Linked DNA regions of Mus musculus. The protein of the gene in region 7 interacts with the protein of the main gene of each other region in a biochemical or structural test. Links are inferred from orthologs where the notes say so. Each region holds a gene or a part of one and is shown on either strand. Other genes may lie near its edges.

The links.
Region 1: the proteins of Kit (region 7) and Yes1 form a complex in vitro, tested with the Homo sapiens proteins (2 studies listed by BioGRID and IntAct, with this or other methods). The link is inferred for Mus musculus from reciprocal best matches to the Homo sapiens genes KIT and YES1.
Region 2: the proteins of Kit (region 7) and Grb2 form a complex in vitro, tested with the Homo sapiens proteins (5 studies listed by BioGRID and IntAct, with this or other methods). The link is inferred for Mus musculus from reciprocal best matches to the Homo sapiens genes KIT and GRB2.
Region 3: the proteins of Kit (region 7) and Kitl form a complex in vitro, tested with the Homo sapiens proteins (3 studies listed by BioGRID and IntAct, with this or other methods). The link is inferred for Mus musculus from reciprocal best matches to the Homo sapiens genes KIT and KITLG.
Region 4: the proteins of Kit (region 7) and Matk form a complex in vitro, tested with the Homo sapiens proteins (2 studies listed by BioGRID). The link is inferred for Mus musculus from reciprocal best matches to the Homo sapiens genes KIT and MATK.
Region 5: the proteins of Kit (region 7) and Grb7 form a complex in vitro, tested with the Homo sapiens proteins (3 studies listed by BioGRID and IntAct, with this or other methods). The link is inferred for Mus musculus from reciprocal best matches to the Homo sapiens genes KIT and GRB7.
Region 6: the proteins of Kit (region 7) and Sh2b3 form a complex in vitro, tested with the Homo sapiens proteins (2 studies listed by BioGRID and IntAct, with this or other methods). The link is inferred for Mus musculus from reciprocal best matches to the Homo sapiens genes KIT and SH2B3.

The regions. Positions count from the first base shown.
Region 1 is NC_000071.6:32,609,671-32,613,970, reverse strand, and holds the start of Yes1 (tyrosine-protein kinase Yes), read right to left. Parts: upstream 2,801-4,300; 5' UTR 2,748-2,800; coding exon of another isoform or gene 1,919-2,747; intron 1-1,918. Other genes in the region: Gm10461 (collagen alpha-1(II) chain), read left to right, coding at 1,919-2,747. UniProt on the Homo sapiens protein: Non-receptor protein tyrosine kinase that is involved in the regulation of cell growth and survival, apoptosis, cell-cell adhesion, cytoskeleton remodeling, and differentiation.
Region 2 is NC_000077.6:115,649,598-115,653,097, reverse strand, and holds part of Grb2 (growth factor receptor-bound protein 2), read left to right. Parts: intron 1-3,204; coding exon 3,205-3,327; intron 3,328-3,500. UniProt on the Homo sapiens protein: Non-enzymatic adapter protein that plays a pivotal role in precisely regulated signaling cascades from cell surface receptors to cellular responses, including signaling transduction and gene expression.
Region 3 is NC_000076.6:100,085,321-100,088,820, forward strand, and holds part of Kitl (kit ligand isoform 1 precursor), read left to right. Parts: intron 1-2,026; coding exon 2,027-2,136; intron 2,137-2,832; coding exon 2,833-2,900; intron 2,901-3,500. UniProt on the Homo sapiens protein: Ligand for the receptor-type protein-tyrosine kinase KIT. Plays an essential role in the regulation of cell survival and proliferation, hematopoiesis, stem cell maintenance, gametogenesis, mast cell development, migration and function, and in melanogenesis.
Region 4 is NC_000076.6:81,256,081-81,260,098, forward strand, and holds the start of Matk (megakaryocyte-associated tyrosine-protein kinase), read left to right. Parts: upstream 1-1,218; 5' UTR 1,219-1,494; intron 1,495-1,749; exon of another isoform or gene 1,750-1,890; intron 1,891-1,960; exon of another isoform or gene 1,961-2,155; coding exon of another isoform or gene 2,156-2,224; intron 2,225-2,399; coding exon of another isoform or gene 2,400-2,450; coding exon 2,451-2,459; intron 2,460-3,093; coding exon of another isoform or gene 3,094-3,096; coding exon 3,097-3,207; intron 3,208-3,302; coding exon 3,303-3,418; intron 3,419-3,506; coding exon 3,507-3,726; intron 3,727-4,008; coding exon 4,009-4,018.
Region 5 is NC_000077.6:98,445,389-98,449,633, reverse strand, and holds the start of Grb7 (growth factor receptor-bound protein 7), read right to left. Parts: upstream 2,801-4,245; 5' UTR 2,385-2,800; intron 2,150-2,384; exon of another isoform or gene 2,126-2,149; intron 837-2,125; exon of another isoform or gene 1-836. UniProt on the Homo sapiens protein: Adapter protein that interacts with the cytoplasmic domain of numerous receptor kinases and modulates down-stream signaling. Promotes activation of down-stream protein kinases, including STAT3, AKT1, MAPK1 and/or MAPK3. Promotes activation of HRAS.
Region 6 is NC_000071.6:121,834,060-121,838,084, forward strand, and holds the start of Sh2b3 (SH2B adapter protein 3), read right to left. Parts: upstream 2,801-4,025; 5' UTR 2,491-2,800; exon of another isoform or gene 2,358-2,490; intron 2,201-2,357; exon of another isoform or gene 2,161-2,200; intron 2,046-2,160; exon of another isoform or gene 765-2,045; intron 1-764. UniProt on the Homo sapiens protein: Links T-cell receptor activation signal to phospholipase C-gamma-1, GRB2 and phosphatidylinositol 3-kinase.
Region 7 is NC_000071.6:75,573,583-75,577,786, forward strand, and holds the start of Kit (mast/stem cell growth factor receptor Kit isoform 1 precursor), read left to right. Parts: upstream 1-1,404; 5' UTR 1,405-1,469; coding exon 1,470-1,536; intron 1,537-2,160; exon of another isoform or gene 2,161-2,464; coding exon of another isoform or gene 2,465-2,483; intron 2,484-4,204. UniProt on the Homo sapiens protein: Tyrosine-protein kinase that acts as a cell-surface receptor for the cytokine KITLG/SCF and plays an essential role in the regulation of cell survival and proliferation, hematopoiesis, stem cell maintenance, gametogenesis, mast cell development, migration and function, and in melanogenesis.

The DNA.
Region 1 (4,300 bases), about 43 Mb from region 7:
TTTCTTTTTTTTTAACTTTTTTTTATTAGATTTTTTTGTGTGAGTGTGTGTGTGTGTGTGTGTGTGTGTGTGGTATTTTCACACACAAACTAGTATATGATATTTATGATGCAAGAAGTCTAAACCTGTTAGCAAAGAAGAGCCCAGGGAGTGCCCTTAAGCTAGACACCAATGACTAAAATTTTTAATCAACAGGGAAAAGATTAAAGGATGTGACAGGAAACCAGATTATCTTGAAAATTATTAACTTAACCTAAGCACCTTCTATACTGCATTACATTCAGGCTTCTTAAAAATATTTTTATGTAAAATATAAAACCCAGGTAACAAACACACAAATGTATGAGCTCATAAATTAAATTAAAACTAACACCTCCAAGACCCCAAGGATAGAAGCATCACTTCCTTGTAGTTTTTTTTTTAATAGTTTTATCACTTAAATTTGCATCCCTAGACATCAGAACCTAGCAATGCTCTTCAAAAAAAAAAAAAAAAAAAAAAATCTGCTCAGGTTTCTTTCCTAAACAATGGTAATAAGTAATAAGACTAATAAATGATGCTCACACCAACCTGAACCACTAAATTGGAAGCTCAATATATTTTTTTTAAAAATTACCAAGGCTGGAGAGTTGGCTCAGCAGTTAAGAGCATTGACTGCTCTTCCGGAGATCCTGAGTTCAATTCCCAGCAACCACATGGTGGCTCACAACCATCTGTAATGGGATCTGATGCCCTCTTCTGGTGTCTGAAGACAGCGACAGTGTACTTATATAAATAAAATATATTTTTTTAAATTACCCACAGTAGTATGCTATTACTGTTAGAACTATGCAAATTTGAACTGTAAGTAAACAAGGATTTAAACAAGTATACAAGTAGTAATATTTCACTACTCTTTTAGCATATTCTTTTATTTATATATGCAATGAAATAAAATTTTATTTGCAAAGACAATGGGTTTTTTTGAGAATTTCTTCAACTAAAAACAATTTTTGACTATATATTAATATTATCCTTTGGCCATGAGATAAATTTCACACCTATCCCAAGAAGACAGGTCAAGGCTGTAATTTCACTTTCAGTTGAACAGAAAGGAGTCAATTTTGTGGTTTGTGAAGTCAGCAAAAACTAGCTACAAAATTAAAGGTATAACATTACCGTAGTTTTATGGCAAAGCACACATTTTAAAAGCTTTTATTTTATCCTGGAAATATGGAATATAAACAGTCTTGTATCTAAGTTTCAATCAAAGGCAATCTTCTCCCTCCCCTAAATTTAGGACCTACTGAAATGTCAACCAGCATCTACATTTTCACTGAGGTTTTGCTGGTATTCAAAAATAAGATATAGCTAAATGCATTTAGCAAGCGGAAAAAATTCCTGAAGAACAACTTTCCTACAGTTGTATTCTCTCTCATATATGTTGCATATAAGAACTTTGGCTTTTAATTTAACACTCCCTATCTGCCCACTCAAAATGTTTCTAGTCCACACCATTGTGCTGGTTAATAGAGGTAGCACACATTTGGCCTTAAATTGAGTCACACATGCACACTTAATAACATTTTCATTAGTGAGTAATTTAAATTTAGAAATTTAACAGGATGTTTAAACTCACTTTCAATTGCCAATTTTGGTCAGTAATTTTACACGAAATACATGAATATACCATACCGAAATATCCTGTGAAATCACATGTAAAAAACACAGCTGTGGAACACACAAGAGAGGTACAAAGTTATGTTTCAACTGCATACTTTTCGTTTATTTACTTTGATAACTGTCATTTCCACTGCTGTTCCAATCACTTATGCAAAGAATAACTACATCAAAACTACGCTATGCCCCATTCACAATCCCTATACCAGAAACGATATTCCCACTTTTTAAAAACAACTCTTTCTCAAGCCCAATAAAGCAAAAGCTGGAAGCAATTATCAAGAAGCAAAACACAAACAAAATTTTCGTTGACACAGGAGGACAGAGAACCGAACTCACGGGGAGGCGGAGTGGCAAGGCACTTAAAAGTGGCCGCTGATTGTAACACGTCCCAACACCCTCAAACCCAAACAAAGGAAAACTTTATAAACAGGTCGTGGTTTGCAATCAAACCAAGTACAACCCGCCGCTCACCCGCTCGCTCCACGAGTTCCACTCCTCGCTCCAGACAGTTGCTGCGGGCGTCCGGCGACACAGACCTCCAGCCGCTAGGACGAGAAGGGGCCGCTGCCCTACCCTCTGGTCCTCATTCGGGAGTGACCCCACGTCCTTTGGGGTGGAGGGTGCAGCGGCGGCACCACATAGGCTGGACCACTATCCGGACTCCCGCAGAATCGGGAAGTACTGGACAGGGCGGAGACCGAGGCACTGGGCAAGCAGGTAGTGAGCCCAGGAGACGAGACACTCACGCCCGCCAGCCAGACCGCGGGAGGGGAGAAGTTTCTCCTCAACTTCCAGACTCCGGGACCAGTAGGCGGACAGCGGCAGGGGCGGCGGCGCCTCGAGAAGCCCGGGAGCAGGAGGGTGGATGCCGAGGCCTAGAGCTGCCCGGTCCGGGTCAGCTGCCTACGTCGCGAGGCCACGCCGCGAGCTTACCTGAGTCCGGCCGCACTCGCACGGGTCGCCGCGGGGAGAAGGCGGCCGGCCGAGGTGGACGCCCGCGGGTCCCTCTCCCTTCTCCACCTCCAGGTCGCGGGGCGCCAGGAGGCAGCGACGGCGGCGCAGCCGGCCCGGGACGCTTTACTTGAGGAGGAGGGAACTCCCGGACGCCCGCACCCCGCGGCCTCCCTCTCTCCTCCTCTCGCCGCCGGCCCCGCCCCTCCGCTCCGGATCGCGCGCGGGGCGGGGGTTGCGGCTACCTGCGCGCGCCCGCTCACCGGAACTCGCGCTCTGCTGTCTGCTGGGAGCGCCTTCCGGCGCGGGAGCTCTGCGCGGGGTCCGCGGGCCGCTGGGAGGCCCGGCCGTGTCGTGCCTGCCGGCCCAACATGGCGCCAGGGGTCAGGCGTGCTCCCGAGGGGGCGTGAGGAGAAAGCAGCAGCGGCATGTGGTTCCCTGCCTTGCCCGCACGCCGACTACCGCAACGGGCGAAGCGGGGCTCCGCCTGGCTCACCGAAACACTGAGGGGTGTGGGGCTTTGTTTTCGGAGGGTGATCGGGGTTGGGGTTCTTTGGAGAAAGGTTGACTGTTCATTTCTCAGCTTTGTGCCTCCGCACCCTTTGTCACTGATAGTAAAATCACAGTCGAACCGCGTGAGCCATCAGGGCAGTGCTGACACCTTGGTTCTCGTCTGGCCGCAGAAGCTTCCTGTTGACTGTAGGTCGAACCAGCCTTGCCGCGCGAGTAGAACCGAACCTGAGTTGTGTTGGCAATTCTCCCAGGAATGGTGGCTCTCACTTAGAGTGGGACAGCATTGTATTTGATCCTCGTAATAGGGAACCCGGACAGGCACTGTGACTCTTCTTGACAGCTATGAAAGCTGACGTTTGGGCCCCTTGAAGTGAAGAAGTCAAGATGAAAGGTTTTTTGTTTGTTTTCCCTCCGAAGGCCTTGCATCGTTTTTTCTGCTTGCCTTGTAGAAAAAGGAAGGGTTTAGGAGGAACTGAGGTACAAGATTGAGAGGGTCAAAAGACAATCTAGAAGTACTCCTGCTAAAGGCACGTCTGCCTTATCACACTCTTAATTTCCCTTTTGTATTTCCTCTTTGGTGGGGTTATTCGAAGTATTAATGTGGGACTGTTGGTTTCCTTTGTGGTTTTCAGAGAAATTCAGCATCATCTTTGACATATCAACTCCGTCAGTAGTCTGGTACTTTAGCAACTTAAATGCACACAGCTTTAAAAAGTTTCTTCAGAGAAAGGAATGGGAATCCACATGAACAACTATGTGTGATGTAGCGCGGTGCTTTATTTTGCCATTGACTGGTGCATTAAGGGGTTTTTTTGTTTTGTTTTGTTTTTTTTTTTTTTTTGTTTTTTTGTTTTTTTGTTTTTCTCTGTATAGCTCTGGCTGTCCTGGAACCCACTTTGTAGACCAGGCTGGCCTCGAACTCAGAAATCCCCCTGCCTCTGCCTACCAAGTGCTAGGATTAAAGGCGTGCGCCACCACCGCCCAGCAAGTTTTTTCTTGAAACTAGAACGTTAGTTACTTGAGCTGTTGCCTTTCTAAACCTACAGATAAAATAGAAATATATTTGTGACCCTAAACTCTCCCAATTTAAAAGACAACAAACAAAAACCCTCTCAATGTTAGTCTAACCTGTTTTGAATTTGTTTTATATTTTATTTTGTTTTACTTTGCTTGC
Region 2 (3,500 bases), on a different chromosome or scaffold from region 7:
AACTCGAGACTGTATACTTAGTGAGCCTGGAGCATACACACAGACACAGATCTGTGAAATGGCTTACAAACTAATGTTTTTGTTCTATTTTAGTTTTTGAAGTATGGCTTCACTATATAACCCAGACAGGCCTTGAAGTTACAGTAATCCTCCTGCCTCTTCCTTCTCAGTGCTAGAATTATAGGTATAAATCTAAAATTAAATTTTTAAAATTTTAAGCTGAAAATAAAATTGTGTTGATTCTTAAGTTGGGAATGAGAAAGCACTGGGGCTCACACAAATGTCGGGTTGATGCCCATAAAGAAAGCCTAGATGCACACACTGCCTGCAGCCAGCAACTCCTGATGAAAGGCAGGGGCATGAGAGAAAGTGCTGCTCTTTATTCTTCCTTAGTGTGCATTTAGGCTACTTTAATTTAAACCCACTGCTTTATAGCTTTAAAGAAAAGAGGGTGAATATGGTCAGAAAGCATTATATGAAATTCTCAAAAGAGTAATTGTTTAAAAAGTATGTACTGAGCCGGGCGTGGTGGCGCACACCTTTAATCCCAGCACTCGGGAGGCAGAGGCAGGCGGATTTCTGAGTTCGAGGCCAGCCTGGTCTACAAAGTGAGTTCCAGGACATCTAGGGCTACACAGAGAAACCCTGTCTTGAAAAAACAAAAACAAAACAAAACAAAAAGTATGTACTGGGCTGGAGAAATGGCTCAGCAGGTGAGAGCACCGACTGCTCTTCCAGAGGTCCTGAGTTCAAACCCCAGCAACCACATGGTGGCTCACAACCATCTGCAATGGTATCCAATTCCCTTTTCTGGTGTGTCTGAAGACAGCTACAGTGTACTCATATACCTGAAATAAATAAATAAAGCATGTGATTGGTGATCGGGGAAGGGAGAGGAAGATGGGTGCTGAGAACATTTGCCCTTCCCTGGTGAGTGTGGAGGTGAGGGAGCTGTCACTGGGGATCAGCCTATGGCCATGACTAGATGCTGCTGGACCATCCATAGAGTGAGCGAAGCTTCTCTGGTCTCTTTTGAGGTGATTCCGTCTGTTGGTAGGGAATTTCCCTGGTGTGGCTGCTCCCTGGGCACTGTAGGCTTCATTCTTAAGCATCTGTAGCAACAGGAAGGTGTCTCCATGGTGTGTGTGGCATCAGAGATGCAGAGTGAGAAGGATTTGAAACCTAGACTTGGGAGTGTTTAGACTCCCGCAGTCTCTGGGCACCCTGCCCTGCAGCTTCATGTCTTTGCCTGAATCTTAGTTTTAATCTGGCAGAATTTTTTTTTAAAAATACTTTGCAGGGTAGTTGTTTATTAAGCCAGCTGTGAGCTCTGCCTGTGGCAAATGCCTATAATTCTCAGGTCTTGGTAGGCCGTTGTTGACCAGACATAAAACCCTGATTCAAAGCAGACACCAGCCTTGGTGGCTTCCTCTTACATTTTCACCTCTCAGATAGCTAAGCAGGAGTGTGGGATTCCGAGGCAGCCATATTGGTGCACAGACTTGTAGGATGGCATGGGCTGCCATATGAGGGCTGCCTCAGAACAGCTTAACAGACCCCAGTAGGGCTACACAGATGTTCAGCAAGCAAGGCACTTGTCACACAAGCCAGGTGACCTGGATTTCATCCCTGGAATTCACAAAAGGCTGTCAGAACAGAATGACACCCCCCACCCCCCAGGGTTGTCTTCTAACCCCCATGTGGATACACGGTGGCTTTAGAAAATGAAAAGATGATTATAAAGTTAGCTTTAGGTGGCAGTAATAACAAATAACCATGAAAACATTATTATTTTATGTATATAGGTGTTTTACCTATGTGTATGTCTCTTTGTCACAGGCCTTCAGAGGCCAGAATTGGGCATCATTCTCTCCGGGAACTGGACTTGTAGGTGGTTGTGAGCTGGTATGTGGGTGCTGGGAACTGAACCCATGTCCTTGGGGCGAAAAGCCAGGACTCGTAAGTGCTGAGCTGTTCCTCTAGCTTGAAATAAAAAATTGTAAATATGATTATGAAAGTTATGTTCTTGGTGAGCATACACGAGGCCTGAGGTTCAGCACCCAGCACCACATAAAACCAGGCATGGTGGGATACACCTATGGCATAATAGCTGTAATGAAATGAGGCTTTGTCACTAATAGACAGTCTGGTACTGTTGTGATTAGTTATCATTGCATGTTTAAATTTTTCAGATACCAGGGCTGGCGAGATGGCTCAGTGGGTAGGAGCACTTACTGCTCTTCTGAAGGTCCTGAGTTCAAATCTCAACAACCACATGGTGGCTCATAACCACCCATAATGTTAGGAGTGGCATGTCTGAAGACAGCTACAGTATACTTATGTATAATAAGCAGGAGCAAGGACTGAGCAAGTGGAGTTGACTGGAGTGAGTGGGGGCAACCGGGGTGGGCAGAGGTCCTAAAAAAATTCAATTCCAAACAACCACATGAAGGCTCACAACCATCTGTTCAGCTTCAGTGTACTATATACATAAAATAAATAATAATTTAAAAAAATTTTTTTTCAGATACCATAAGGTAATGGGCTTTGGTTTTTCGAGACAGTCCCACTGTGTAGTTCTAGCTGTCCTGAAACTATGTAGACCAGGCTGACCTGGAACCAAAGAGATCACCTTTGTCTGCCTTCTGGGTGCTGGGATAAAGGCGTGCATCACTGCCACAACCTAGACTCTAATTCCTCACAATGCAAGCCTCCCTTCTTGCTTTTGCAGAATCCACCCTTCTACAGCTGCGAAGTTGTAGGCCTTCCCAGCCTTTCCCTGCACTCCTATTATGAAATGGCTTTGAAAGGCCTGTCTTCCCTCTGCCCTTATCTTGGGTGTCAGGGCTTTCCTAGGTCCCTCCTGATGAGTGAGAGGCAGGAGGGCTTTGTCCTCAGAAACTGGCTTTCAGACTGCATGTTGGGAATGGTCTCCTTGGAGACTGAAGAGTGGCCTGTGTTGCTGCCTTGAATTATGATCTAGAGTGTGGAGTAAGCGAAGCTGTTTGAAAGCTCCATCTCTCAGGAAGGCCCTGAGCCAGGTAAGAGCCCCAGGGAGCCTTAGGCAGGAGACCCGCAGGTAAAGAGCTCCCCTCTGTCTCTGACAAGCACTCACTACAGGAGCGCTCTCATTTACATGCCAGGTTGTACATCCCGTCTCTTTGTGGGGAAGCAGATGGTGACCAGCTTGCCTTCCTTCCTTAGGTGGTTTTTTGGCAAAATCCCCAGAGCCAAGGCAGAAGAAATGCTCAGCAAACAGCGGCATGACGGGGCCTTCCTGATCCGAGAGAGCGAGAGCGCTCCTGGGGACTTCTCCCTGTCCGTCAAGTAAGTGTTTCCTGCTGGCCTTGCCAGAGAAGCTGCTGCCTTTGACTGGATTGTAAGGCTGTGGGGAAGATGTTAACACATCTTTTCCTGTGGAAATCCTAGTGTTTGCTCTAAGGCCTAGTTGTAGCAGATCTGAGGTTTTAGGTTTGAAGTGTCATGAACCTGGGGGAGCT
Region 3 (3,500 bases), on a different chromosome or scaffold from region 7:
CTGAGGCATCCATTTCTGCTGGAGAGCCCTGGTCGAGGTGCTGAAGTTCTCCCAAGAGATAGTGTAAGCTAGCCTTTTTTGATAAAGATATCCTCTCTCTCTAAGCATTATTAGCATGCCCGGAAGAACTGAGGCCAGGTTTCCAACCATGAAATAATAGGAGCAGCAATGAGCTCTGGAGAAAGACTATCACCCCTTTTCTTCCCCCTGTCTTTAGGGTCCCTAAATGGGAATGTTGCTGTATTTTAGACACTACAACTTGTGTTGAGCAGTAGTAGTTCCAGTGTGAACAGTCCCAGTAGACAGTAGTGGCCACAGCAGGGGAATACAAATGCAAATAGCCAACTTATTTATTGGTAGACTGTGATGTACATCACACCTTTGGTCATTCTCAATCTCTTTGAGACTAAGGTAGCTATTTTGCTTTGGAGAGATAAATGAATATCGGTTCCCAATTTGGGATGCCTAAAACATGCCTATCCTGAGGCTGTAGTATGATGTGGCAGGCCAGAGAACTGTTAGTTTTGTCGTGAGGAAGCAGTTTATTGTTATGTTGGTGGATGACAATATTTCAGACAGCTCCCCCACACAACCCCTGCATCTCATACTGAGCACCCATCCCTAAGCATTCCCTCTAACACGCATGCGCAGGAAGGAGCTCACGAACAAATGTGATTTGGGGAGGACAGGAAATGGGGAATTAGGAAATTCTCTCCTTGGCATCCACAAGTATTGGGAGGAATAGCAGAGCCCTGTTCTCACTATAGTAGATATGATTTGTTTCTTACCTTCTAGAATAAACCTATGAGTTTTTCCCCTTATCAACATGGGGTGTACCTACACAGTGGATCTCCTCCTTGGAGGGGTGTTAGCTGCTAAGTAAGTAATTGTAAGCTCACCTTGTGACCAAATTCCTGTTACAAAGCTACTTAAAAGCAGTCCCTCTACCTTGATCCTGTTTTGATTTGTGGCCTGTAGTTGTTGGAAAGGTATAATTTCTTTGAAAGGGAATTTCAGGCTAGCAAATGCTCCAGTATTTCCAAATAGGGAAATTGTTCTTTATAAATGAGTCCTCTAGGGAAATCGGTCCTAGTCTGGCTCACTTTGGGAGAAAGACCATCGTGGGACTCATTCAACTTCTCAAGGCAAAACAAGGCCAGGGAAGGTATCAACAGTCAGGGCCATTTATTTTTTTAACTAAAGTGTTATTTCCTGCAGGATGACACTGGTGGCTTTAGTCATTCTTCAGAGTAGTTTCAAACTTTCCAATGTAAAATGAAAAACAAGAAAGAAATTCCTGCTCCCCTGTGTGGACTGAGGGTGTGAGTGAGCCAAGAGCCCCAAGTTTAAGGCTGCTTAAAGTGCTGTATCTGCAGGATGCATTTAATGATTTGCTGTCTGCATCAGACTAACCCTAGCTGAATGCGTGCAGAATCCGATCCATCTTGCAAAGTTCTTTTAAATTGGGGGTCAGAATGCTAAGAGCAAGACAGCTAAATAATATTAAGGTAATCGATTAGAGAAAAAAGATTTGCTTGATGGTAGAAATCTTTTCTGCTCAGGAATATATCAAGCCTGGATTCCAAACATGCATGAACCTTAACTGCATTAAGTCTCTTCCTGCCTGTTGGATTTCTTCTTCTTCTTCTTCTGCTTCTTCTTCTTCTTCTTCTTCTTCTTCTTCTTCTTCTTCTTCTTCTTCTTCTTCTTCTTCTTCTTCTTCTCCTTCTTCTTCTTCTTCTTCCTCCTCCTCCTCCTCCTCCTCCTCCTCCTCCTCCTCTTCCTCTTCCTCTTCCTCTTCCTCTTCCTCTCCTCCTCTTCCTTTAAACACTTTTGTCTTTTAGAGATTATATGGACTTACACTGCTTGCAGAAACAAAATTGAACAGAAAGCCCTGCTTCATTTTTTTGAAAACTGTAAAAGGCTGTGCACGTCATTATGGAATCCTTTGGGAGCAACCTCAACCTATCTGGCAGACCTCTGGAATACAGCTGAGTTCTTTACCACCATGTTCTTTGATTTGCAGGGAAAGCCGCAAAGGCCCCTGAAGACTCGGGCCTACAATGGACAGCCATGGCATTGCCGGCTCTCATTTCGCTTGTAATTGGCTTTGCTTTTGGAGCCTTATACTGGAAGGTGAGCATTGTTTTTCTTTCTACCTCATCATCAACTTTATATACTTGTTTTATATATATACACATACACACACACACACACACACACACACACACACATATATATATACATATATATATATATACATATATATATATATATATATATGGCACTTTTTCAAAAAATTTGAAGAAACAATCATTCTTACTATAACATAGGGCCTCAAAGAAATTCAAACGTTAGGGAAGTGTCCACCATTGTGCATTGGAGGTGTGTCCCCTACTACAGACAAGGCACACTTAAGGGCTGGGGCCCAGTTTAATGGTCTGAATTAAATATAAAAAGAAAGAAAAAATATCAATACTCATATGCTGTGCTTTACAGCCAAACAGATGTGCCTTTCTGTGGCTGCTCTTTTGAGTGCCCTCTCTTTTGTGGTCTTACTGGTCTGTCTAAAATTCCAAAGGTGCCAAATCATGATGACTCTGCATTAATAATTATCTTTTTAATTTGATTGCTATTTATAGAACAGCCTATGAACACTGAGCTGCCCGGGCTTTCACTGTACACACCCACAAATATTTTGATTGCTAAAAGACAAGCACCGGTGACGGTGGCTCAGTTGCCTTTAATAGTAACAGTGTAGAGTGCTGACCTCAAGAATTGCAGCCGTCACTGGGGTTTCTACAATAGGTGTCACTCTTTTTGTTTTTCCAGAAGAAACAGTCAAGTCTTACAAGGGCAGTTGAAAATATACAGATTAATGAAGAGGATAATGAGATAAGGTATTTTGTTCTCCTAACTGTGTGCTCCAACAAGCTTGGTGTCGTCCTTTCTCATGCTGTGCCTATGCAGGACTCTAACATCTGTAGGGAGGTGTTCTTTAAGGAGATGTTCCGAGATGGGCTGCACCTCCCATTCAGTGTGTTCCAGATGTGTCGTAATTTCTGGCCTTCCACTGTGTCTTCACTCTTACGTCTTTACCTATGAATAGTGTCTGGGAAGGCACATTTGCCTAGGTTCCCTTTTCTATTGGTGTCCTTACATCCTTTGGAGATCGCCTTTCTCACCTGTGTCTGGTGTCTCTATTATGTGTTGGCTGAGTGGCGATGATCACACTCTTTTTTTGTCTTCGGCTCTGTGAATACATTCTCTGTCGTGTTATTTCTGAAATCTCTGTTTGCGATGCTGCTTCCTGTTCACCAACACTACATGCCTTTCCCTGGCAGCCTTCGATCTAACTTTTCACTTTATTCTGAATCTCAGATCCCTTAGTTTTCTCGAATGCTTTTAGTATTTTACCTACAGCTAAATAAAACCATTATCTTAAGATGTTTTCCAACCTCCTGTAATTGACAGTGATGCCTCTTTCACCATTCCCTCCA
Region 4 (4,018 bases), on a different chromosome or scaffold from region 7:
TGACAATAACACTTCTCTTAAAAGATCTGTCTTGGGCTGGAGAGATGGCTCAGCAGGTAAGAGCACTGACTGCTCTTCAGAAGGTCCTGAGTTCAAATCCCAGCAACCACATGGTGGCTCACAGCCATCCGTAATGAGATTGGATGCACTCTTCTGATGTGTCTGAAGACAGCTACAGTGTACTTACATATAATAAATAAATCTTTTAAAAAAAAACTGTCTTGAAAAAAACAAAAACAAAAACAAGGAAATGTCCTCTGTACCCTGATCTTCTCATGCTCCTGCCTCAGCTTCTCCCAAGGCTTGGATTGCAGGCTATGTCCTTCAACCCCAAGGGCCAGTGCCGTTTCAACACATATACTTCTCAGGTAGCCCAGGCTGGCCTTAAATTGACTACGTAGCTGAGGATAACCTTAACTCCTGATCCTTCTGCTTCTGCCTCTCCAGTGCTGAGGTGACAGGCCTGTGACACCACAGTGTGTCACCCATTGAGCCCCAGTCCCCACTTTTGGATCTTTGCTAACTGTAGGTACTAGAATAAACATCTGTACAAAGTCCACTGGTAAGACAATTGGAGGAGGTCTCGCTAGGCCCGTGCCAGAGCGAGTCAGAAAGCAGTTGGTTACTGCAGAGCACTTGGACCACTACTGCACCCGTGGGGCATCTGCCGGCAGTGTGGGTGGTGGCTGATGGTGACAGGAGGGAGGGAGCCTGTGACTCAGACACTGTCATCAGCAATAGGGTCCGAGAAAAGTGGAACTTTGGGCTGCCTTGGTTCCAAGTCTCTGGGCCTCCCTGGCCAAGGACTCCTCAGTGGGTACCTGCATCTGCCTGGGGACTTGTGATTAAGGACTGTGGCTTCTGGCCGTGTCATGTCCATCAGGGTGCTTCTAGGCACCTCTGCCCAAACGTGCTTAATTACTTAATTGGGTTTTATTTGCTTTTTTTTTTTTTTTTTTTTTTTTTTTTTTTTTTTTGAGGCAAGTTCTTACTCTGTAGCTCTCTATTTTAGCCCAGGCAGGGTTCCAACTCACAGAGATCCTCCTGCTTCTGCCTCCGGAGGGCTGGGAGGATGTTTGAGTGCTCCACAGCTGGCATGTCTGAAAGTACAGGCAGACCAGGCAGGGCCGCAGCTTGCCTTGGTCTCCTTCCCGGACAGGGAGCTCCTTCCTACTCCTAGCACCTGCGCGCGTGCCCGAGCCATTCCGCGCTCCCAGCTTTCCCAGGGTGGGCGAAGGAAGGCTAGGATTCAGCGGGGACCCGAGAGCACCCGGCACTTGGTACTCAGCACTCTGCCCGGACGGAGTGGGAGGCGCAGCGGGAGGAGGTGGCAGCGCGGTCTTAGTGAGACCGGCGCTAGGACCCGCGGGGGCTCCGAGCCGGGTCCCCTCCATCCTTGCCCCAAAATGAGGAAGCCTTGCAAGTTGCTCCGAGTTGAGCCACTGGGTGCTCGACCCGCTGGCAGGGACCCTCCGAGGGTCGCGCCCTAAGCAGGTGAGCGTGTGTGCGTGGGTGGAGGGGGACACCACTCTCGAAACGGTCCTGGACCCGGGGGCGTCGGGTGCAACGGGCTGGTTTTTGTTTTATTTTGGTTTTTTTCTGGGTGCGGCGTGCAAGTCTCTGAGTGCGCGAGTCCCGGTGGTCACTGCAGGGCCCTTGTGCACCACAGGCACCAGCACAGGTGTACGCGTCTCACTGGCGCCCTTGTCGCACACACGGGGGTGGCTGGTGGCACCTGTGCCCAGATGCACGTGCGCCTCCGCCTGCGTGGCTGCCGTGCAAACCCCACTGAGTCTGAGGCCAGGAGCGCACCCCAACCTCCCGCCCTGCCCCCCTGCCAGCCACCAGCCGGGGATCCGGGCAGCCCTGCAGTGCCTGCGCTGGGATGGGGTGGGTCCCCTCAAGATGCTTCTTTGGTGACCCGTTGCGACCCGAGGAGCCAGGAGCTATACGGGAGCCTGGCCTCCTCAGGTTCCGCTTAGGGTCAGATTCCCAGGAATGACCTTGAGTCACGGCCCCTGCCCACAGCCTCCTCTGCCCACGCCCAGGAAAGAGGAAGCCACAGGCCCAGTTCTTTCTCACACACAGCCCTGGCTGCCACCTGGGCCAGATCACTCCATTCCTGACTCTGGGCCTCAGTTTCCCTTCCCGAGCAATGGCAAGGCGAAGCTCCCGGGTCTCCTGGCTGGCCTTTGAAGGCTGGGAATCTAGGGACCTGCCTCGGGTAATGATCACTGTCCCTAAAGCCAAGGGCTGCAGAGGGGCTCCACACCTAAGCCATCCAAGGGATGATTTGAGGGAGGCGCTTTGCTTCCTGGATGCTGCTGCCACCAGGCCAGACCCTGAGGAAAGAGCTGGACCTGGGGACACTCCCAGCATGACACTGCCTTCCTTCACAGGTGAGCCCTAGATTGTTCGGAGCTTGGCACCCCGCGCCTGCTGCAGCTAGGATGCCAACGGTGAGTGTGGGGCCCTGAGTCACCAAACCTTTTCAACTGTCCCCTTTTGGGGGGGAACATGCCCCTCCCCACTTGAGCAAGCACCCACACCTGACAGTCCCCAAGGACCCCTCTCCCCCCACCCGCCAAAATGGCTTCACGTGACTATAATTCTGCCTCTCTCTATAACTCTGTTTCCCTCCCCCCTTCCTTTCTGTATTAGACATTATCCCCAGGCCTCTATTCTTTATTTTAATTTATTCTTGAGACAGGGTCTCAATGTGTAGGTATGCCTGGCTTGGGACCTGAGAGTCTCCAGGCTAGCCTCAAACTCAGAGATCCACTTTCCTCTGCTACCCCCACCCCTGCCCTGAGTTCTGGGATTACAAGTGTTGGCCAGCACTCCTGGCATCATCATCTTTTAATTTTTGAGACAAAGTCTCACTGTAGCCCAGGATGGGCCTTTGGCTGGTTTGGAGTCCTCCTGGCTCAGCTTTCTGAGAGCTAGGCTACAGGCCTGTGTCTTCACTATTCCCTTGTCCGGTCTTCTATCCTCACCAGCCCCAGCTTTCTCTCAGGTCTCTCTGTCCCTCCCAATTCCCACTTGTCCCTGTGTTCAGTCCCTGACATACCTCTGCCTCTGTCTCCTTCCCAGCAGCGCTGGGCCCCTGGGACTCAATGCATGACCAAGTGTGAGAACTCTCGCCCCAAGCCCGGTGAGCTAGCCTTTCGAAAGGGTGACATGGTGACCATCTTGGAGGCCTGTGAGGTGAGAGGGGAGCTGGAGGGTAGGTGGTGTGCCTTGGGGGTGCCAGGGCCGACACCCACCAGCTCCTTCCCCACATCTGTTCCCTTCCTGTACAGGACAAGAGCTGGTACCGAGCCAAGCACCATGGCAGTGGGCAGGAAGGGCTGCTGGCGGCCGCTGCTCTGCGACAGCGGGAGGCCCTCTCCACAGACCCCAAGCTCAGCCTCATGCCGTGAGTGGCACCCTGGGGGGTGGTGTGAGAGGCTCAGCCCCCTCTACCCCTGCCTTACACAGCCCCCTCTCCACACACATCCCTACAGATGGTTTCATGGCAAGATCTCCGGCCAGGAAGCCATACAGCAGCTGCAGCCACCCGAGGACGGGCTGTTCCTTGTGAGGGAATCAGCTCGTCACCCTGGAGACTATGTCTTGTGTGTCAGTTTCGGCCGTGACGTCATCCACTACCGTGTTTTGCATCGAGATGGGCACCTCACCATCGATGAGGCCGTGTGTTTCTGTAACCTGATGGACATGGTGGAGGTGACGTGTGGGGCAAGGCTGGGGAAGGAGGGATGGAAATATGGATGGTGGCCCCAGGAACTGTCACTTCTTTCTCTAGAACTGGGGTCACCTCCCCAGGGAGCTCTATGTTCACACCAACCACCCCTCAGTTTCCATTCTACAACCCCCACTGTTGCCATGGAAACCCGATCACCTTAGCCTGGCACTTAGAGGAGGAGTCTGGCAACCTCACTGAAACTTGGGGTGGGATGGTGGGAGCGGTCCTGCAGGGCAGAGGCTCATGGCCGGCGGCCTCCACAGCACTACACCA
Region 5 (4,245 bases), on a different chromosome or scaffold from region 7:
GGCCAGTGTCCAGCTCAGGTGGGAATAATCATCTACCCACCTCTAGTCCTGAACCATCTCCCTGCCCATAGCCCAGGAAGGAGAGAAGAAACGCCCGGCCTGGATCCAGGAGCCTATCAGGATTGGAGCCCACCTCCTGGTGATAGACAAGCAGCATCCAGCCCTGCCTGGCCTGGGTCTGGAACCTACAACTCTGTTTGCTGTTAACTATCCCAAGATATATGATGGTGATTGTATATCTAGTCCCAGGGATTGCTCTGTGGGAGAGGGTCTCTAAACACACTCTGGGGTGTCCTGACCTGAGGGGTATCACCAGGCAGAAGTGGAGTTAAAACACCCAAGAAGACAGGCAGGCAGGCAGCAAAGCACCCCCCAGGACAGCCAAGAAGAGCAAGCAAGACCCATCTGACACTTAGCATCCTCAAGACACCAAGCAAGGAACATCAACACCGGGCACCCACTCCCACTCACCTAATCTCCTTTTTCAAGCAGAGGTGGGAGCATCAGCAAGGGTGCCCCTCCCTCAAATGGAGAAAACAACACCCAGTTAGACAGGTGTTTGAAACGGGAGGAAGTAGATTGAAGTCAGATTACAGTCTGATGTTAGAAGCTCAGGTGCAGGCTAAACTAGGGTTAGCTTCCAGATCCCTCCACCACACCCTTAAGATGGACAGCTCTAGGGGACGGTAGAGTAACTAAAATTTGAGATGAGGCAGGGGAGCCTGCTGTGGGGCCTGCCCAAAAGATGGAAAACATTCAAACTAGGGCCTAAGCAAAGGTTCCGTTGGAGAAACTGGTCCCCCAACCAATTTGTCCTCTCAGCTAGGCCACTCCAAACTCTGGCTCTCCAGCCCCAGCAGCTCCTGCCCCACCCTCTCTCCTACCCTCCCTGCTGCCTTGTTTACTTCCTGAATCTTGCCCCACCTAGAAAGCCCCAGGGGCGAGTGGCAAGGCCTAATGTTTGGGGCCAACTGCAAACAAGGCCACCATCTCCTCTTCCCAAGATGAGGCGAAGGGTTCGTGGGGCAGACACTGAGCTGCTGGCCTGGGCAGCCTGAGATCCGGCTCTGGACCAGCACAGGAAGCTAACACCCATCAGGACTTGGGGAGGGAAGTGGGGGGGGGGGGGGGCTTAACCTTTCCGGGTACCGGGAGCAGGTGGGGAGGTAGGAAACCCTGAGTTGACCCAAAGTTGATGCTCCACCCATTCCGCCGGGGTTGGGGGGGGGGTGGGAACATCCAATGAAATAAAGCGGGCGGGACAACTCTTTTAATGTTTAATTTGGGAAGAATGCTAGAGTTCTCTGTAGAGTTAATCATTAGTTTGCCTTCGGGGAGAACACAAACACACACACACACACACACACACACACACACATTAGCACGCGCTATTGGGGGAGAGCAGAGTCCAAGCTAGACAGACTCATGACCCAGAAGGCATTGCATTCTTGGGGGGAAAAGAGGGAGAAAAGGTTGAAAATACTATCAGCTGTCCCTCAGATGCACTCTGTCTCCATCCTACCATGAAAACCCAGACCTAACTAGGTCTTTCCCCCAACTTCAGCCTCAGGCAGGCCCACATACCCGGCCATACACTGTTTTCCAGGCCCCGAACTGCAGACCTTCACACTACACCCACCCCTCTAGCTTTCTTTGTCCACACTCATTTGCAGCCAGGAGGGATCCGCAGCCTGCTGAGCTTCCGTATCGGAGATGGGACCACAACGTGGAGAGATGCAGTTCCAACCATTGCGGGAGTCGCTCTCCCTTACTCCCCTCCGAATGGGAACCCCAGATTGTAGTAAACTGAGCTCAATAAGGTATTGAAGGGCAACCTCCGGATCTAGCACCCCCTACTAACTGGTGTTGGGTAAGAACTAGTTTTAGCCGGAAAGTCAAGATTTCAGGTGATGGAGAGACCTTACCTCGGGTCTCAGGGAGCAAGATGAGGAAGGGGAAGGATTGGTGATGCCAAGCAACAAACAAAACAAACAATGCAGCGCAGAGAGCATCAGGAGTGTGACTCTTTCCTTAGGGACCCAGACCTAACTTGCATCCCATCCCATCCCATCCCATCCCCCAAGATGAAGTTCCCGCTTCCGCCTTTACCCAGACCATAGCTCACCTGCCTGAGGCCACCGGTTTAGGGAGGAAGATTCCAGGCCTTAACTATCACCCACCCCCCTTCTCCCCCACCCCCACCCCCACCCCCCGCCTCTGGCCTGACCTCGCCGAGAGAGGGCGGTCAGGGGGGAGAGCGTGGCAGCCTCCCGGCCATCTAACTGGGCAGCAGGCCAGATCCGCTCGATGCAGGCACAACCTGGGGCCCTCGGTGAGGCTGGGGGTAGGAGCAGATTATCTAAGACCGATCTCGGTCGGCTTACCTGGAGCACCTCCAACAGAAGGAGCCGGACACCCGGCCCAAAGTCTGGCTCTGTCTAGAGATCCCAGACACTTAGATTTGATTTCGAATCCTTTCTCTCTTCTCTACAGATGGTAGAAAGGCTATCCCGCCTTTGGAATGTTGAGGCGGGAGAATATAGAGCGAGCCCTGCGTATCCAGATTCCAGGCCCAGGGAAACTAAAATTATCTCGGGCAGGTAAGGGCGGAGCCTGAGAGGCTCCCTGGAGAAGGAAGCGCAGGAGGAGGGGTGGAGACTCCTCACAATGCACCGCCTCGAATTGCTCTTGCCCTTCCTACTGAGCAGCAGGTGCTAGGAGAGAGGGAGAGAGAGAGAGAGAGCAGGTGCCCCGGAGAGAACAGGCTGGACAGAGAAAAATCTAGAATCCTGACTACATGGGAAGGGGAGTTTGGAGGCTGTTTGTTAAACGCGAATGGTCCCGCCCACTCCTACTCGTCCCATTCCAATGATGGTCAGTTCATTGGTCAAGCTAGGGGGCCGTCTTCAGCTCGGATCTCACCCCCTAGGGCAAAGGGCACTGGGCTTAAAAGGGAAGCCAGAAGAGGTGCTCTGCCCTTTGACCTCCAACCACAGTCCAGCCGCCCAGGCTGTTGTCCTGGCCCTGCTAAAATACCCAAGGTGCACCCTCTCTTCCGAGGCAAGTCCAGGGTCTCACCTTCCTAGTTTCAAGTTTAAGAGTGGCAAGGTGGCCTAGTGGGAGGGGCCACAGTTCTGGTGACCGTTGTGGCCTGATGCAGATGGCTTCTATTACAGCAGTTACTCCAGCTTTCTGGTTCAGCTCACAGCAAACATTGGAGGATCAGGAAGAGGGGTTGAGAGTCCCCAGATCAAAGGCAGCGGGCCACCTCCCAGCTTCCTATGGCTAAGAGTTAAGAAAACAAACAAGCCACTGGGGCGATAAGGGGTCTGCCCTGAGGAAGCACAGCCTCCCTTAGCTTTTCCGCTTGAAAAACTAATGTGGAAAGCCACCGTGGAAGTGTGTGCCTTTTAATCCCAGCTCTCTAGGGGCAGGGGCAGGTGGATCTCTGTGAGTTCGAGGCCAGCATGGTCTACATGGACAGTGAGGACTGTACAGAGAAGCCCTGTTTCAAAAACAGAGTGACGACAGACAGACAGACATCAGACAGACTAGTATGAATAGAGCAAAGCAAAAAGGTGAGGAAGGGGCAGGTTGCTTGGGCCAGGAAGCAATTTGAACAAATTGCAGGAGACAATTTCCTCATTTCCAACCTAGCAGACCTGTGCTTGGCGCTGGGTATACAGAGCAAAACAACAAAAACAGACCCGCCCTTTGCTGGCTGCAACCCAGTCGGGGAGACTGACCTTTAAGAGTCACACAAATAAGAAATGACAGGTGACAAGTTTGCCAGGTGAGTGACTCACAGGAGGCAGGGAAGGCCATGAAAACAAAGCCAGGGAGGACCTGGCAGTGAGTGGGAACCAGAGGGGTTAACCTGCCATGGTGGACCCCCAGTGTGGAGAAGCAGCTGCTGGGAGGGAATGCAGAAGAGAGTGGGGGTGGACAGGAACGGAGGCCATCAGGTAGTCTGGGCAGGTCTTGCAGGTACGGGAGGGGTGGAGGGAAAACACTGCAGCTCTTAAAAGGGGGGAACACAGTCTCTTAAGCTGCTCTGGAAAGAGCAGACCCGTGGGCCCCTCCTCAGCTACCAGAGTCTCAAAGCACTGAGGAGGCAGAGCCCCAGGAATGTGAGATATTGACAAGCCCTCAGGTGGCTGTTTTGCAAACCAGGTTTGAGAGCCATCCATCCTGTTTGTCCAGACTGGCAGGAGGAGTGGGCAGAAGCCAGACCCTGCCAGGAGT
Region 6 (4,025 bases), about 46 Mb from region 7:
GACAGGGTTGTGTGGGAGGAAAAATCTTTCAGCCATCTGCTCAGCTGCTGGGGTTTCCGGCTGGCCAGGGCGGGGCAGGCCATCAGGTCCCTTAGGGACTTGTCTCTTGTCCCAATGAGAATGGTACTGGGCTGGAGAGCTCAATGCAGGAGGTGGGGGCGGGGGCGTCACTGAGATCCCTAGATCACTGACCAAGAGACACAGGTTGTCCAGATCATGGGGCGCAAGCAGGTGGTGTCTAACAGTGCCCAAGGGCATGCAACCAGGCCTGAGGTGTACCCGGTCCCTGAAGGACCTCAAGCCCCCGGAAGCTGGAAGCTGGGGTGCAAGGCTCCTGGGTCCAACTAGGTATGACTCAGCTAGTGACCCCCACTGAGTCATTTCCCCTAAGCGGTGTGCCAGCCTCAGTTTCCTCGGGGAGGGTGGGTGGCCGGGAACAGGCCTGGCAGGAAGGAGCAGCCCCTCCAGAAACTCCAGATGGAAGCTGCTTCCTGCTCTGCCCAACCAGAGATGCTCAACACCCAAGGGGCCCTGGGGACCGTTTTCCCAGGAAACCTGGCAATTAAGGGCCAGCCACTCCTGGATTAATAGCAATGGATTAATAGCAATAGCTTAAATTTATTGAGCACTAACATGCCAATACTGCATGCCTCTCCCCGACTCTGTCCTTCAGCACCTCCACTTCAGACTTCCAAGAACACCTGTAACTCTGAGACAGCACAACCCAAGCCTAAGATCTCAGAGTCAGGCCAGTTACTGCCTACCTGCTTCAAATGTCTTCTCCTTGTTGGGCTCCTACATAGTGCACAACCACCTAGAGAGGCACAAGACTTGGCTGACACTGGGCAGGTCCCAAGAGATGTCAGGTAACTTGCCCAGGGCCTCACCCCTGAAGCTAGCAGAGTCTGGATTAGTCTCCACACAAGTGCTGCTCCAGGGAGAAATGAGGACTTGAAAGGAAAGACCTCTCGTTTTAGTTTTAACAGTACTATCTGTCCCATCTCCTCGTGCCAGCAGTTAAAACCCTTCCCGCTCTTGATGACTTTTTCATTGCCTCACAGAAGTGCCCACCCAAAGAGTCACAGCAATGGGACATTCAGCAGCTGACTAGCCTCACAATGTGGGCTGGACCCCCAGAGACCTGCTCTGGAAAGGGTGTGATACAGGCCCAGGCAGCCGGAAGGGGCTCCCAAGCACCTTCAGCTCTATCGCAGAAGTGGGAGAAACCAGATGGTGGCCCAACTAGCCTAGACAGCCTGAGGCACACAAGCTGATGGCACAGCCCAGCTACTCAAAGGAAAGGACCGTCACTTCTCTAAGAACATTTTGAACGATGAGGACCAGGCACTGGGTGACATTTGGTGCCAGAGAGTCAGGAAGGAAGAGGAGCAGCAAATGACCTCAACAAAACAGATAACACCCTTGTCATGACTGCCTGCCCTCCTGATCAAGCCATCCTGTGCTCTGGTGGCCCTCACAAGTTAGGTGTCAACTGAGGGAACCCAGGCCAGGAAGGGGTTTGTCATCTGACCCTGCCCAGGGTCCTTCAGAGTTCCCTGCCCACAGACTCGGGAAACCCCAGAGCAGCTATGCTCAGGAGAGAGCCGAGGACGGTCCCAGGGCCAGGGTCAATAAAACTGGACAGTCTGAAAACCAACGGCCTGTAACTGAGGTCTTCTCCCAACGGCCTGTAACTGAGCCCTTCTCCCAGCCGGACGCAGGTGCCTTCCACACAGCATTCATTAAAACTCCACCTCATTGTAACTGCACCACAAATCTCTTCTCACTCACTGAACAGCGGGGAAACTGAGGTCGCGACCCTCATCTTGGAGAGCAGAGGAGAAAGAACACAAGTTCTGCCTCTAGGACCCTCGGTTTCCTCTCTTGTCACTGCCCAGCCCTTGAGATCCCCAAACCACAGCTGCTGCCGCTGCTGCGGGCCAGCCCCTTCCCAGCTGACCACCCATTGGGACTGCACAAGTTCCAGAATGTATTCACCCCTCCTGGCTCAGATGGCGTTTCCTCCCAGAGGAGGCCTGGGGAACAAGGTTCAGAAAGTGTCCTAAGAGCATAAAACTCTTATAACCTCAACTTCCCCCAGCGGGCCCTGGCCTGTCATGGCCTGTCCCACCCCCTTCCCCCATCTCTGGCTGATTTCACCTTTAGGACTCCGCATATCATCCTTGGTTGATCACCGGGGCACTAGTGACACACGTGTCCCCCCCTCCCACCCTCACCGCCAGCACACCCCCCCCCCCGGCAGGGGCCCAAGCACGCTGTGTGCCGGGACAGCTCTCGGTTCCTCCCGCGGCGCCCCGCCAGGCTCCTCTCCGGAGGCCCCAGCTGAAAGCACTGACCTCCGCGCCCACATCACTGCGGTCTGGGATTGGGGAAGAGAAACAGAATGAGGAAACGCCAGAAAACAGAAGCGGGACCCGGGGACGGCCGCCCGGCCCAGTTCCTCCAACACGCTCGGCGGGCCGCGCTTACCGCGCAAGCTGCGGGTCGGGGCCCGGCCGGCCCATGGCGTCGCACGGCCTCTCGGCGCTCAGGCAGGAAACCCCGGCTCGGAAAACGGCCAGCGCCTCATTTCCGCCGCCAGCTCCTGACAGCAGCCGGGGGACGCGGCCTCGGGCCGTCCCCAGGACGCTGCTGCTGCTGCCGCCGCCGATGTGGACCCCGTGTGGCCCGTGACAGTCTGGGCTGGAGAGCGGCCAGGCGGAGGCGACGGCCCGAGCCCATGCCGCCCCACGCCGTTATGTAAAGAGGAACCAGCCGCGAGCCGCGCGCGGCGGCGGAGGGCGGCCTGGGGGCGTGGCCACAGAGAGCCACGCCCCGGGGCCGCCTGCGGAGGCCGGGGGCGGAGCCTATCCCGGCCCCGCCCTCCTCTCGCGCCTCCGCCCGCTGCCCGGTGGGAGGTAGCATAGCGACAAGCTCCGCCCCCATAAGGCGCGCTCTCTGCACCCAAGTTGCGTCGCGCCCCCTAAAGAAGGGAAAAAAAATAATAATAAAATAAAGAATCTCGAAGGGGAGGAGCGTGCTCGGTCCCGCCCCTCTCGCGCTGGCCAGTCACCGCGTGCCTCGGCAAGGCGGGGCCCCTAGAAGGGGTGGGGCGGGGCTAGGCGCGCGATGGGCGTGGCTGCCCCGACCTTCGGGACCTCCTAGGGGCGCGCCCCTGCGGACTCCCTCCAAGCCCAACCTTATCTGAGCTTGCCCGGCCGGGTCTAGCAACTGCGACCGCGGTTTTCATCACCTCCAGGGGAAGGGGCCAGCCCCACCCTGGCCCCACTATCCATGACTCCGCCGAGCCGTCCTGCCTCCGCGGCGCCATCCATTTGAAGTCCGCTCCCCTCCTAAGGTCCTCGGAGTCCCGGAACGGGCCGAGTAGGCTGTTCTCTACCTGGCCGCCCGGCCGCATTCTCTAGCTTGATGAAACTTTCTCCAAGAGCTCCTTCGCATCCCAGGCAGCCGAGCCCTTTGAACGTCCACGCCTGCGCGCCCCTTAGCCCTTTACCTTTTCTCTATCGCCACATTGGCTAACAGTGGGGTGCCCCTGTTCTGAAGTGGAGTCACTCACTGCACGCCAGTCTTCCCCGCGACTCTACGGAGGGAGGGGAAAGAGGAATGCCTGTCCCCTCCCCCTCCCCCAACAGGAAGCAGGCCGCCCACGCCCCCAGCTTGGAGGGGCCACTGCAAGCCTTCCCAGACGACAGGCTCCCACGAGCCGCTGGCTCCCTGGAGCCTTCCCCTTGCTGCGTGGGACCAAATATTTGACCCCCTCCAACTCAGTTTTTTCATCTATGAAATGGAAATAACACGTGTCTCCAGCCCACTCAGGGACTGGAAGAAGTGAGTTGCTCACATTAGAGCAGCCTAACCAACCGGGCTGAATTCAGTCCCCGGGCCTGCTGTTGGAGCCCGAAGAAGGGACTCCCCCGTAGGTGGGGATTTCCACTACAATCGGACGGCAGCAAGCTGGAGCCTGGTAGCAAAATGGCTTGGAAGAAGCCCCCACCCACCCACCC
Region 7 (4,204 bases):
CCAAAACAAACGTTTATCTTCTCTACTTCATAACGTTAACTGTAGACCCGGATACTATAAAAACCCAGATTGTTACTGTCCACCCCCGGATAGCCACAGTGACTGTGAAATGTCCCTAGGTAGAAATTGTCTTAAGAGAATTACTTTAGGAGTTGGAGAGTTGGGTCAATTAGTTAAGAACAAGAAAGTTGGCGCATGACTTTAATCCCAGCACTTGGGAGGCAGAGGCAGGCGAATTTCTGAGTTCGAGGCAGCCTGGTCTACAAAGTGAGTTCCAGGACAGCCAGTAACCCTGTCTCGAAACAAACAAACAAACAAACAAAGAAACAAACAAAGAACAAGAGTAGTTGGGCTCCAGGCACCCACAAGATGATACACAAGCATCCGTAACTCTAGTTTCAGGAGATCTGACATCCTTCTGACCTCCCTGGGCACTAGTCACACACGTGGCACACACACATATTCATGTAAGTAAAACACTCATACACATTAAAAAAAAACTTTAAAAGGAAATTATTTTGCTTTTATCTTGCTCCTAAGGCAGACCACAGTCGGATCGAGTTGGGGAAAGGGGGACTCAGAGGGGATGGGGCGGGGGGGGGGTGTTGAGGGTGAGATTAAAAAAATAATTAACACAAGAGAAAAGGCACCCAAATGCAAATAGGTTTTAAAAACCGAGTTTCAAAGCTAACTCCTTCACAGGATGCCTCTGTAGTCCACTGGCCCAGTTTCCACAAGTCTCAGCAGGAGCTTGGCTGGGTGGAGGTCCACGCTGGCCAATAGAAATCAGCTGTATTCTTACAGGTTTCGCAGCAGGTGGAGAAACTGAGCATGAAAAATTACTTAAACGTGGGCTCGGTCTTTTACTGAGGTCAGGGGTGCCACGATCCGTCCTCCTCTACCAACAGGAACAGAAATAAATGTTGGGGACCCAGTTTCCTAATCCCTTCGCCCGGCAATCCCGACTAGTAACACCTCCACCATAAGCCGAATATATTCTCCCCGCTCCGGAGCTTGCTGGAGGGACCGGTGGTTGTCCTTTATTGTCTAGGGAGCACCTGCCAGGTGGCTGGCCCGTACCTAATGCGCTCGTGGCGCTGGGCTTCACAAAGCGCGGGCAGCACCTGCGTGGCCAGCCAGCCGCCTGGACTGAAGGACCACCGATGGAGGGAGAGTGCTAGGAGGAAGAGGATCCAGGGTGGAGGGCCTGTGGGGGCTCCTGGTCTTAGAGGGCACAGCGCCCCCGGGATCAGCTTATTGCAGCCCGAGAGCCCCGGGCACTAGGCAGCGGGAGGGAGTGCGACCCGGGCGGGAGAAGGGAGGGGCGTGGCCACGAGCTGGGAGGAGGGCTGGAGGAGGGGCTGTCGCGCGCCGCTAGTGGCTCTGGGGGCTCGGCTTTGCCGCGCTCGGTGCACTTGGGCGAGAGCTGTAGCAGAGAGAGGAGCTCAGAGTCTAGCGCAGCCACCGCGATGAGAGGCGCTCGCGGCGCCTGGGATCTGCTCTGCGTCCTGTTGGTCCTGCTCCGTGGCCAGACAGGTGGGAAAGAGCGGCAGACAAGAGGACTGCACCCTCTGTGGGCGCAGCCCGGGTCCGGGAGGGGTGCCACCTGGGTGCGTCCGGAGTGGTAGCTGTTGGCTTTTCCCATGCCTACCACCTCGAAGGTGGTAGGCGGCCGCGGGACTCTGGTGGCCCGCCTCGCTCACCTGAGCTGAGAGACCTCAGCCCGGGTGGTGGAGACCCGGGGCCGAGGGTCTTCTGGGAACCCAGGCAGCGAGCTGCAGGCTGCGGGCGAGTTTGGTGATGCTTTTGTGCCGACTGCGCGCGGGTGGCAGGGGCGGGCGGCCTCGGGCTTCGCACCGAGAGCGTCCTCTCTCCGAGCGAGGTGCGGCCACGGCTTCCTTTTTGTTAAAAGTTGCGCGTGGGTGACCGACGCCTGGGACAACCAGCCCACGGGTCCCGGACACACGCCGGGCAAAGTTGGAGAGCCTTTTCTTGCGGCCGCTGCTTCCCCACCTCGGGCGCTCTTTGTGCACAGTGCTGGGGACGCAACTGCAGCCGCTCTCATCGTGCGCGGCGCCACCCGAGGAGACGAATCTCGGGCTTGCTTGCCCCCACCCAACTCCGTTTTTTGCACGGGGAGCACGCGGCGTGAGGCTCTGGGGCGGGACCCCACGAGCCTGTAGGTGGCGGCTATGGGGACAACTTGAGCCGGGCGTGTGGCGAGCAGCCGCTAGGTTGCAGACTTTTTCCTTTTGTAAATCTCGTGCTAGGGGCTCGCCCCTCTCTGCAGCCGCACGGTGTTCGTTGCTGCCACGCGCCAGGGAGCTGCTGTAGCCTACGTTGGTCGCCAGCTTCTGGGAATCAGGGACTGCGTGCGGGGACGCAGCTGTTCTTGCCACCTCGTGCGCGCTGGACCAGGACCGAGTCAGTTCTCCCCAGCTTTGGAAACCTCTGGTTTCAGTGTATGCGACTTGTAATCGCAGGTGGCCGTTTTTTTTTTTTTTTTTTTTTTTTGGAGGGGAATCCCGAGATCCAGAAACCCTCTCCCACGTGATAGCCATACTCAGGGCTGCCTGGGGAGGCTAGGGGGTGGGGGAGAAGGGGTAAGCTTTCTGCAAATAGCATTTGTTTCTTCAAGCTGTTGGGAAAATCTTGTTACCTTTTGCAGGGTAACTTGGGTCTCAAGATCTTAAGGTTCCGGAGCTCCTCAGCCCTGCCCCTTTTTTTGCCAGGTGTCGCTGGTGCACTGCCCGTGCAGGTTGCCTGCTTAGTCCTGAAGCCCTGCTCCCTCCTAGGTCATTTTCAAAACAAAAACCAGAAACCCTTTTAGGTTACCTTGATGCTATAGGCTAGAGACAATCTGCACGCTGCAATAAGGCGTCAGATGGCCAGCATCTCTGTGACCTGTTTTGAGCCCACCGCTGACTGCGTTTTCCAGATCTCACTCCCTAGATGCTTTTGAAAGGCTGGGAGAGGGCTTTTTTTTTGTGGGGGAAGTCTTGCATCTGGACCTCTGCGCGCACAGAAGAGGGGTCACCAAGGGTCACAAATGAGTGTTCAGATTCCTAGGCATATTTGACCACTTAGCTGAAAATGACCCCAGTGATCTTTTACGTTTTCCACCTTGTTCTGCTTTAGAGCAAGGTGGAACGCCACAAAGATCACAGTTCCCTTTTGAAAACAGAAACGAGTCAATGGTTTGCATTTTCCCCCTGATTAGTCTGCTCTGGCCAATAACTTTTTGGCAGAGGGAATTTGAAGGTCTGATTCCTGGCACAGGGTGTGTTGTAATTCCTTTCTCTGTCTCTCCCGTTTCAGGCCTCCTTTTCAGCCATTCTGCCTCCTTGGTTTTGTGCCCTTGGGCGGTCATTTAAATTGGGAGTGGGTGTGTGTTGGGGGGGACTTTGGTTTCCACGGAAGGTACTTGAAGACATTTGCATCACGAAGGATCTGAGGAGTTCACAATTTCAGAAAGCAGCTTTCTTGTCTAAGGGCCTTTTGGGGTGTGTGTGTGTGTGTGTGTGTGTGTGTGTGTGTGTTACGGTTTTGCTCCAGGCTTTGCAGGAAGCAGTTTTGTGTTTTTGTTTATGCTGTAACCTTTGGAGGGCTAACCAGTGCCTGCTCTGCAGTAACCCCTCCTTCCGGGGCATTCACAGTGGGTTTACAGCTCAACAGGATGGTCCTAGAACAGTGAATCAGACCTCCTCCCCCTCCCCACACCCCCTGTTCCTGCAGGTGCAAGTCCCTAGTCATTCATGGTCATTCACGCACCTGGCATTCTGGCTTACGATCCTGCTGGAGATAATCTGATAGTTCCTTGAAGAGATCCTCAATAATTCCACGTCTCCCCCATTCTGGGCTCTCCCCATCCATCCACACATTCGTATGACGTTATAAATCATGTATGCCATGCTTTTGCAACACTCTTCCTACTGTGCTTTAAATATCATATCATGGATGTGTTTTGTGCATACTTGGGGCTTCACAATCAGTAAATGTCTGCAAGGCTCCCCATACTGAGGGCTTTGCCTGCCATTTCTGTACTCAGGGGCCCAGGAGGTTAGACCACTACAGTGTCTATTCCTATTCCACCATTGTTTTCCAATTGGAGAATAAGTCACTTGCCCAAAACAGCCAGTGAAGGAACCGGAGCTCAGCTCCGTGTGCCCAACTGTGCATCCATTATACAACTCACCAGAATCTG